Regions from separate parts of the Mus musculus genome. Here region 1 is reported to be linked to region 2. The links are microRNA targets in miRTarBase. Many come from high-throughput screens and were not tested one by one. Region 2 holds a microRNA gene; the other region holds the end of a gene's coding sequence.

Region 1 (5,216 bases), not on the chromosome of region 2:
CTGCCTGTCTTCCTTCCAGGGACGCCTTTCCTGCCTGTCCCTCTCAGCCGGGCGTGCGCATCAATGAGTGCCTAGGTGCGTACCTTCCCTTTTGACCATCTTTAGAGATCCTTCTAGGTCCTTTTCTCCCTAGTCCTTGAGGCAGAGATAGAAAGGTCATATTGCATGTACTACACACGCACCTCAGTATCAAGATAATATACTGGTATGAATCAGCTGAGTCATACCTGACCATCTTTTCTGGGTAAAGCAAACCATTGGTAGAACCCAGCCCCTCATTCCAACCCCATCAGAAACAAAACACAAAACACTGGGTGAGGTCAGGAAGGGCGGGCAAAAATATTCACACAGTGGTTTGGGACATCAGGTCAATTGGGACCCCTCTTTCCTCTTGGCTCAGCTGGAAAAGCTTGGGACACATTGACTCCAGTGTGTGTGTTTTCCATTTGCTTTCATTTTAAATCCTCTAAACTCAAAGTGGACGGGTTTGTATACTTAAGGGATTTCAGGGATTATTTTGATTTTTGTTTTGTTTTTTGGTTTTTTCGAGACAGGGTTTCTCTGTGTAGCCCTGGCTGTCCTGGAACTCACTCTGTAGACCAGGCTGACCTCGAACTCACAGATCTGTTTGCCTCTGCCTCCCAAGTGCTGGGATTAAAGGTGTGTGCCATGCCCAGCGTTCTCTTTTCTGCAAGCTCTCACACGATATCCCACTCCATTTGCTTGGGGCTAGTCCTTTGTGCCACTCTGTTTCTTGGTGTTCTTGCAAAAAGAAATACTGTTGTGCCACTCTGTGTTTTAAATGTGTGAAATGAGAACTGTGTTTTATACCAAGATCTCAAGACTGATCCAGGTAGCTTCTGCCCCTTCTATTGCCCCCTCCTCGGCATGCTTTTCCCTCCCACATTACCGTCATCAACAGCACAATACGATCCTCAACTGCATGCCCTAACACAGTGCCTCAAAAACACACCTGTCACCTTGGAGTCTTGGAAAATGCAGGCTCAGCAGTCTAAGTTGGAGCTGGAAAATCTTTTTTGTTTTTTCTTTTTAGATGTGGTCTCATGTAATACAGTCTGGCCCCAAACTAGATATGTAGCCAAGGTTGGCCTTGAACTTGTCCTCCTCCTGAGTGCACTTCCCCAGTGCAGGATTACAGGCAAGAGCTTCACTGCCAAGTTTATGTGGTGCTAGGGATAAAACCCAAGGCCGCATGCTGGGCAAACACTCCACTAAAATGAACCACATCCCCAGCCCTCTAGAGTCTTTTTTTTTAATTTAATTTTTTATATGTATGCGTGCTTACATACATCTGCACCACATGAATGCCTGGCAGTCATATGGTGCAGATACATGTAAGCCCCCCATATATATATACATACACATATATACACATATACATACATATGTGTATATATACATATATGCATATGTGTGTGTACACACACACAGATATATAGTCTGTAATTGAAGTTACAGATGGTTGTGAGCGCACATGTAGATTCTGAGGACTGAACCAGGATTCTCTTGTAAGAATAAGTGTTCTTAACTATAGAGTCATTTTGGCAGCCTCACAGAGTTGCTATATATCTGAAAAGCTAAGGGAGGCCTAGACTGCACTGTTTGGAACCATGTGTCAAAGAGCAAGGCCCTCAAGGCCCTCTGTGAGAATTTGAGTTTCTTGGTTGTAGAATATAAGAGCCTCTAATTAGGTAAGGGCAGCCTGTCTGTGGTCCTGTTTCACTGTGTCTCCCCATCCCACAGCGGCAGGTCAAGGGGCAGGAGGTATATTTTGATTCAAGAAAAGGTGAAAAAGCCCTTTGTTGTTCTCACCCGCGGTGCCCCCTGGATATGGTCTTGGTTAACTCCTCCTCCCCTCTTAACTAGAATGGCCCAAGGTCTCTGCAGTGATGTCCCTGGCCAGTGATACATGGTCCAGGCTAGGCATCTTAGTCTCTATTCCCACCACAGACAACTTTGAAGTCCCTGCACTCTAGACATCTAGACTCATTAGGCCTGGGCTTCCTCTCTAACAGGAGCCATAGGATTTTCAGTTAAGTTGTATTTTCTCCAGTCCATGTGGTTTTCTCTTTACTAGCCTCTTAAAGTGCTCTGGGACTCAAACAGCCTGGCCTTGGTGCTGAGTAGTTATCCTGCTCCTAATAAAAACAGTCACTGTGTGTGTGTGTTTGTATGTGTGTGTGTGTGTGTGTGTGTGTGTGTGTGTGTGTGTGTGTGTGTGTATTACGGCCAGATGTCCCAAAGCAAGTGTCTATGTCTTTGTTATATTCAGGTAGAAAATGAAATTCAGAAAAACTTATCAAGGCTGGGAATGTAGCTCACTTGGTAGAGCGCTTGCCTAAGATGCAGGAAACCTTGAGTTTGATCACTGGTACCAAATAAAGTAGGCACGGGAGCACATCGGTGTAACTCTAGCCCTTGGGAGGTAGGGGCAGGAGGGTCAAAAGTCAAGGTCATCCTCAGCTACACAGAGAATTTGGGGACAGTCTGAACTACGTGTGTGTGTGTGTGTGTGTGTGTGTGTGTGTGAGAGAGAGAGAGAGAGAGAGAGAGAGAGAGAGAGAGATTGAGAGAAGCAGATAGCAGATGAGGAATAGATCATTAATGGAGTAACATCCCTATGTCTGGCCTTGACACACAGCCGCACTGCAGGGGGAACTACAAAATGAAGCACTGGTTTGGGGTTTTAGGCACTGAAGCTATCTACCAGTATGAAGATGTCTACCAGGAACACAGAGTTCAAAACTCTGTCAGGCTTTGGCCAAAATGAACCATGGCTCAAGGTGCACGAGTGTTTAGAGGGCTTCAGAAGCAATGATTTTCAGGTTAGATTTAAACCAGATAAAGAGCTGGGAAGCAGCAGGGATTGGGTAGAGGTCAGCAGTGGATGAGGACTGAAGTCTGGGCCCCAGCTGGGGGCAGATCGGCTAACATGTCTGTCACTTGACTTGGTAACTGATACTCACAGCTTTGTTTGGAAGGCTCAGCGCTAGGTAAATGGCCAAACGCCAGGGGAGCCTGGGTGGTCCAAAGCCCTCTGGTGGAAGCAGCCTGCTTAATCAATCCTGCAAATCTCTGCGCTTTCCTTTTTCCATGAGCACAGCATTGCACAAGTTCCCTGGCACCAGGCTCCAGCCTCGAGCATTACACAGATCATACAGTCCAGTGTCTGCCTAGCTTGAGACACACACCTTGCACATCTCACCACACTGCCTATTCCGTGTCAACTGTTTTAGGGCTGGGATTCCATGAGTGACAGAGTTTCTGTAGAAGCCTAGAGAAATTTAATCTCTTAGCTTCTGAATCAAAAGGCCTTTTGAACTTATATGTTTTTAGAGCTCAAAACATCTTAACTGCTGTTTGGCCTTACCAAATACTTTTCATAAAATCAGGCATGGTGGCACAAGTTTTAATTCCAGTACCCTGGACATAGAGACAATAGGATCCGAAATTCAAAGTCACCTCAGCTAAATAGTTCAAAGCCATCCTGGGCTTCATGAGACCCTGTTTCAAAACAACAACAGCAGCAAAGTATTTTGCAAATAGATACTGACTTTTGATCATAACAAACCCATGAAAGCATTGGGGCTCACTTAACACCAAGGTTCAAAAGTAGTGAATCAGCCAAGATGTAGGAGGCTGAAACAGGACTTTGATTTTTTTTGTAACAGACCTGGAGATTCTTAAAAAAAAAATAAGAGTGTGTAGGGTGGAGTGTATGCTTATGCACAAAGCCTTGGGTCCACACACACACACACACACACACACACACACACACACTATCATGATTGGCCTCTTTCCCATTTCTGAGAGGTGAGTGAGGTGAGATCCCTAGCTATCGTCCTGGCAGTGAGACCCATTCCAGAGTGTGTGTTCCTCCTGGAAGTAGAAAGAGAGGATCCGGGACAAATCCAGACAAGTCCAGGGGTATGTAGGTGGAAATTCTCAGGAAGCCTGAAGCTGGTAGGGCTGAGGTGATGTGACTAAAAGATTCTGCCAGGAAGACCAAGTGATGTTACCACATCCATACGGGTGCTCTCAGTGGTTGGTCCAAGCTCTTGCTCCTGGCTAAACTGTCTGTCCTGTTCCTGACACCAATGTGGGTTTAAGGTAGATGCCCAGAAGCCAGACCCCCACTTGTATTTGTGATTGGGGGGGGGGGGGTCTGAGGTCTGTTGAAGTTCCACTGCCCCCCTCCCCACGGGGCTCAGGCCCTAGGCCAGGGCTCAACAGACACAAGCAGTAAGATGGGGTTGCCCTTCTATTGGTCCAAGTCCTGAGCGTAGCCTGGTTGAGTCATGGAGGTGAGCAGGCCCACGAGGCTCAGCAGTGTGGAAAAGAGCAGCAGGAAGGAGGCTGCGAAGAGCAGAGCAGGCAGGGCACTGAGCACAAGCAGCAGGATTGCTGGCAGCAGGTGGCTCCACATCACAGCCACCACGGGCCATAGCGAGCTCAGCAGGTAGGAGCCCGTGGTGAAGAGTGCGTGACATAGCATCAGTGCCAGCAGCAGGTAGAGTGTCCCCTCCAGACCCCACAGCATCCGCTGTAGTGGTTGCCGCCAGCCTGATGTATTCCACCACTGGGTCCAGCTCCGAGGTATGTGGCATACCCACCAGCGCACCCAGTCCTGACGGATGATCCAGGCTGACCAGGGCACTGCCCGCTGGGGCCCCTCGCCAGCCCCGATGATATCCGACTCCACTCGTGGCTGCTGCATCACGGCTGGTGCACCTGTGGACAGGGCCAGGCCAGCTGCAGGGGGCAGCCCTTAAGATGCCCAGGACCTCTGGATAGGTGGGCATGCAGGGGTCAGGGGGATACCAGCATGGGCAGGATTGGACTTTGAACTGGGGCCTAGGACTTACCTTTGGGCAGAGCCACCTAAGTCATGGTGCTTCCTGTTGTGTCTAGGCTGGCCTGGCAGCCAGATCCCAGTCTCTCCCTCGCCTGCCCCACCATCCCCAGAGGAGTGCATTATGACCCGGACTGGGGTGGGGCTCAGCCAAGAGAGGAGCTACTGCATAGTGTGAGAGTCACTTATGTCCTTTACTTAATGGTCCCTCCAGGCTAGCAGGAGAGCCCAGCAAGCCTACCATTCTTCTTCTTGTAGGAAGCCTTCCCCACACCTGTCCCTCCTTGATGGCTGCTTCCAACCCCATGGCTGGAGTTGGTTGCTGTAACTACCCTTTTCTCTG
Region 2 (5,216 bases):
ACAGGAGGAAGTGCTGAGTGAGGCTGAGCCCCTGACCTTGAACCTGGGATCCTCCCCATGATCTTCTGGTGCTATGGTCAGGGGTAGATTCCTTGTCATGAGGCCCCTTAGGACCCATAAGGGCACAGTGACCCCAGTGCAGGCTGGAGGGGGCGTGGAGGGATGCAGTCTTGGGTTCTAAGAACTGTTTTTCTGGGATCCAAGCTCAAACATCCTGCCTGTTGACCCTCCTCAGCTGTGGGCATTGAGCACAGTCTGGCCATTCCTCATTTCTCATGTGACTAGAGGGCTGGGACCAGATGAGGGCTGGGAATTCTGGGTACCCTCCTTCTGCCCCATGAAACCCTTGGTCCATTTCCCAGAGGAGCCCAAAGTTTTGAGAGTGAATTGACTTCCCTCCCTTTAGGAGAAGACAGGAGGCCTGTTGCTCCATGTCTTCATGAGCTGTTTCTGGAGAGTCAAGCCCTCCTATCCCTGCCCCTCCCACCCTTGCCCTTGCCCATCCCAACCCTCTCTTCACACTCCATCCTTTCTGACCCCATGCTCCATGTTCTCCAGTCCTGCCTCCTACTATCCACCCTCTCCCTTTTAGAACAAACCACAAAGTCAGATAATCTTTTCTTCTCTTTATTCATGGGGCAAAAGCAGGTATGAGTTGGGAAAGCAATGGAAGGACCTCTCCTTCCTGTGGCAGTGAGCAGTGGGTCTGGTCAGAGCACTCTTGGCTCCTTGGCACAGTACTCTGGGTATCTGGGGCTTCACCAGTGTCTCTTGGGGGCTCCCTCCTTTATGGAAGGTCTCTGTCCCCTGCACTGTCCATATGTCCATTTGGGGAGGGAAAAGGGAGCCCCACTTGGTTGCTACCACCCTTTCTTGGGTCCTCTGAGTCTCAGGGACCTTCAGGGTGGATCAGTCCATCTGGTAAGTCACACTGGTACGTCGAATGCTCCTTGGAGCAGTTCTGCCCAGGTAAGATCAGAGTTCAGGGTCAGATGAGGTGTCAATGGAGCCGGACCAGACCGGTAGTGGGTGGGTGGGTTGTGGGGGGGGGGGTGGACTTGCTTGCAGGGTGGGCTGGGGTTGTGGAAAGCATGGAACCACAGCACCTTGGGAGACTGGGAGGGAGTAGGGGCGTGTCCAGGGGAGTCGGAGCACCGGTGTAGAGGTAGAAGTCCGTGGAGCACCCAAGGTCAGTGTCCCAGGATGCACAGGTGGCCGCCTGCCACTCAGGGGGTGGTGGTGGGGTCACTGGCATCTGCTTGCTTGGCTGCACCTGCTGTATCTGCTCTGCATCTGGCCTGGGGTGACGGGGTCACTGTTGCTCATCACTGCTCTCTCCTCATTGGTCTCACTCCCTTTTGTGGGCCTGGGGCCCGGACAGTTAGGACAGTTAGGGTTACACAGTCTTGGCTGGTTCTGGGACGCTGATAGTTGGCTAGTTCTTTAGCACAGATGATGTTGCTGGTTGATGAAGTTGTGGCCCTTCACAAGTGGGTTCCCCTTGGGTTAGGAGTAGCAAGAGGGTGTGCTGGATCTGAGCGAAGCTGGCCGAGGCACAAGGGAAAATGACAGTGACTTGGTGTGTTTTCAGTCAAGTTCATCATCTGAGTCTGATAGCTCTTCTAGCCTTGCCTGTTCCCTGGCTGGGGAAGGCAGCGCCATTCTGGAGGCCATGGCCAGGAATCGTGTGAGGGCCTGGGCCACCTGATCTCTGCTAAGCAGAGTAAGGCGGCCATCGGTGCCCAGGGTGTAGAGTAGCCGGTTGTTGAGGAAATCTAGGACCTCTGGGTCCAAAAGATTTCGTGGTCTGAAGGTGACCGCTTCCTGGTCGCCAAACAGGTCCTCTTGCACGTCGTTGTCCTGCGCGTCCTGCGAGGTGTCTTGCAGGCCGTCATGCAGGCCACACTGACGGTAACGTTGCAGGTCGTCTTGCAGGGCTTCTCGCAAGACGACATCTTCATCCCCAACGACGTGCAGTTCCAAGTACCGGTGCTGGTAAGGGTCAGGAAAGACGTCATCCTCAGGGTTGACTCTGACCCCAAAGAACTCACACAGGGTCAACCAGAACCCAGGGGTGAAGCGCATCCCCCGTGGAGGCTGGGAATGCAGAGCATTCCGATGCCAGCACCTTGGGCCCAGGAAAAGCTCAGCCAGCTCTCGAGCTGGGAGGGTGTTGGCACCCACTAGAGGGGGCATCTGGCTGAGCAACTGAGCGATGGCTGTGGCCATGCCACTACTCGCAATGAGGGTCGAGTCCAGGATGAGTCGGAGTGTGTGCCGGTGCTGAGGCCTGGCCACTTCCAAATTAGGGGCAGGCACTGGGGAGAGGGGCTGCCTTGCTCTCAACATCACCAGGACAGCTGCCACACCCAGGAGACTCTTCCAGTAGAGCAGGCCACGGAAGAAGTTTAGGACAACGGCCCGGATCTGGGCCACACTGAAGTGAGCCAGTAAGCCATTGAGGATATGGTCCATCGGGATGGCAGCCAGTAGCTCCCGCACCATGCTGGGCACCTCCTCATCTTCTTCCTCCTCATCCTCTTCTTCCTCATCTTCCTCCTCCTCTTCTTCCTCCTCTTCCTCCTCCTCCTCTTCTTCCTCCTCTTCTTCCTCCTCTTCCTCTTCCTCCTCCTCTTCCTCCTCATCCTCTTCTTCCTCCTCTTCCTCCTCTCCTTCTTCCTCCTCCTCTCCCTCCTCCTCCCCTTCTTCTTCTTCACCATCTTCCTCCTCCTCCCCTTCTTCTTCTTCACCATCTTCCTCCTCCTCCCCTTCTTCTTCTTCACCATCTTCCTCCTCCTCCCCTTCTTCTTCTTCATCATCTTCCTCCTCCTCCTCTTCTTCTTCACCATCTTCCTCCTCCTCCCCTTCTTCTTCTTCACCATCTTCCTCCTCCTCCCCTTCTTCTTCTTCACCATCTTCCTCCTCCTCTTCTTCATCATCCTCTTTATCCTCAGTCTCAGAGGATCTGTCAAAGTACCTTAGATTTGCCCTAATGGACATAAGCAGCAGTGGGCGCAGAAACCTTGCTCTGAAGCCTCTCTGGTTCCAACATCTGCGGAAGAGTGCTTGTGTGTCACCTTCAGCTGGCATCTCCATAACACCAAAATTGAAGTGTGAGAAGAAGAAGACCCAATGCCCGGGGAGAAGTACGGTGAGCCTGTCATTATTCAGAGAGGCTAGATCCTCTGTGTTGAGAAGGATCATGATGGGCTCCTCGGTGTTCTCCAGGTAGCGGCACCACACCATGAAGGCAGCCCGGATTGGAAGGATCCTCATCTCCACTCGAGGGTACTCCACCTCCATTGTAGAGAGGGGTCTTGAATAGAAAGCACAGGTAGATTTCTTGCCAGTTTCGTCGTCGGTTTGGACCAGGGAGGCAGACAGGAATGACCCAGTGATGTCTGTTTCCAAGTAGAATGGGTTCTGAGGCTTAGGGTGATAGAGAACGGGCGACTTGCGGAAAGCCCTCTTCAGGGATTCCAAGGCCTCCTGCTCCTCTTCTCCCCAGTAGTAGGGCTCTGAACTCAGCAGTTGTCTCACTAGGGGTGCTGCGATGACAGCGAAGTTCTCCACGAAGTGGCGATAGGGATAGACAAGGTCAATCACACTTTGAAGACACCTCCTGCTGCCAGGGACAGGGCACCCCACGATGAGGTTCATAAGGTTCTTGTTCAGTTTCACCCCTTTGGGGGATATGTTGAAGCCCAAGATTTCAGCGGTCTGGCGATGGAACTGAGTTTTGTCCAGTGAACAGTAGATGTTGTGATACCGAAAGCGGACCAGGACTTGGCGGACATGCTGGGAGTGTTCCTCCTGGCTCATTGAGTAGACCAGGACCTCTCTGCCATGGCAAATCACAAACAACCCTAGGATGTCTTTTAGGATGAAGTGAACAATGTTGTTCCCTTCGTCAGAGTATGAGTTCATTGTGAAGGGCCGGTAGCATCTCATCTGGTGAAGGCCGAAACCGAACGATGCTCTCCAAGTGTCTTCCGTGTGTGTGACCGTGTGCCTCATCTCACTTTCCTTAATCCCAAGCAGCTCCAGTTTTGTGAACCATGCCGCTCCATGTAGCTGGTCGAATAGCTCTGGTACCATCTGCGTGTAGTCTTGTCTGTCAGTCAGCATGTCATACAGTATCCAGTATTCCTCTTGCTCCCTGGCTTTCTCTTGCTGCCTGGCTTTCTCTTGCATCCTGGCGCTCACAGGTTCCAAAGTCTCTCGGGCCCCAGACTCGTAAAAGACGCCGCTTTGATCACTGTCTCCAGCCTGCTGAAGCTCAGAGGGCTCTGATTCAGAAAGATCATCGGATCCGTCTGAGCTTGGCTGGTCGGAAGTCTCATCATCTGCCTCCCTCGGGTTAAACACGTCGGCCAGGTCTGAGTATGTGTGTGGCAATCCGGGCAGTAGGCTTATGCTGTATGTCTCTAGTGCGATGCATGGTGGAGGTGGGGTGAAGCAATTCCGCAGACAGTAGGGAGAGTGGAAGGTACACCGGCCTCTCATCCAGTCGACTTCAGGGGCATGGGTTCGGAGCCACTTCATGCCTAAGACGATGGAGAAGTTGGGCGAAGGTAAGATGTCAAATTCGATGTACTCATAATGCTTCTGGTGGACACATACCAGGGGCTCGGTGCACAGCCAGACGGGTTCATTGCCAATTGGGATGCCATCCACACCTTGGATTATCTGTGGATAAGGCTTCTCATAGAGTTCCACATAGTGTTCCTGGGCAAACCTCTCATCCATGTAGTTCCCTTCTGCTCCTGAGTCCACCAGGGCCCGCACTGCGACACTGTGGTAGGGGTCCACTCTCACCAAGAGCAGTAAGAAGAGGTGATCGCGATCAATGTCTGGGTGGAACTCATTGGGCAGCCAGCTGCTTACCCTCCACTTCTCTGGGGCGGGAGCATCCATCCAGGCTACGCTTCTTGGGCGCGACTCAGGTGGCAGCCTGAGTAATGCTCTTCTCTCTGCCAGCTTTTCTTCAAGTTGCAGGACAAGTACAATCAGGTTGTCTAGGGAATTCGGCTGAGGGATCCGGAACAGATAGTGCCTGATCTCTTCGTTGAGCCCCTGGCACAGGTGGGCCTGCAGGACTTCATCTGGCCAGCCTAAGGTGGGTATCAGACCCCGGAACTCATTGATGTAATCGGCCGCACAGCGGTTCCCCTGCCTGATGTTGAACATGGCGTCTTCCGCCACACGCAGGGTCT

Evidence for each region. The annotated mature microRNA mmu-miR-433-3p reads AUCAUGAUGGGCUCCUCGGUGU and lies in region 2 at 3,200-3,221, shown strand. An mRNA with a match to its seed (bases 2 to 7 or 8) in the 3' UTR can be bound and repressed. Matches are read on the target gene's strand: a 7mer-m8 pairs with bases 2 to 8, a 7mer-A1 pairs with bases 2 to 7 and ends in A, and an 8mer does both.
Region 1: the mRNA of Tmem239 is a reported target of mmu-miR-433-3p. Seed matches in the 3' UTR shown: 7mer-m8 at 3,804-3,810.

The regions. Positions count from the first base shown.
Region 1 is chr2:130,406,246-130,411,461 of GRCm38, reverse strand. It overlaps Tmem239 (transmembrane 239), which reads right to left and starts at 4,940. Exons shown (of 2, transcript NM_025753.3): 1 at 4,887-4,940; 2 at 3,668-4,752. The coding sequence starts at 4,738. The coding sequence ends at 4,283.
Region 2 is chr12:109,588,582-109,593,797 of GRCm38, forward strand. It overlaps Mir433 (microRNA 433), which reads left to right and starts at 3,134; the gene lies at 3,134-3,257. Rtl1 (retrotransposon Gaglike 1) reads right to left here. Exons shown (of 2, transcript NM_184109.2): 2 at 612-5,216. The coding sequence ends at 1,588. Mir431 (microRNA 431) reads left to right here and starts at 1,866; the gene lies at 1,866-1,956. It overlaps 6430411K18Rik (RIKEN cDNA 6430411K18 gen), which reads left to right and starts at 2,956. Exons shown (of 1, transcript NR_002848.3): 1 at 2,956-4,270. It also overlaps Mir127 and Mir3070b.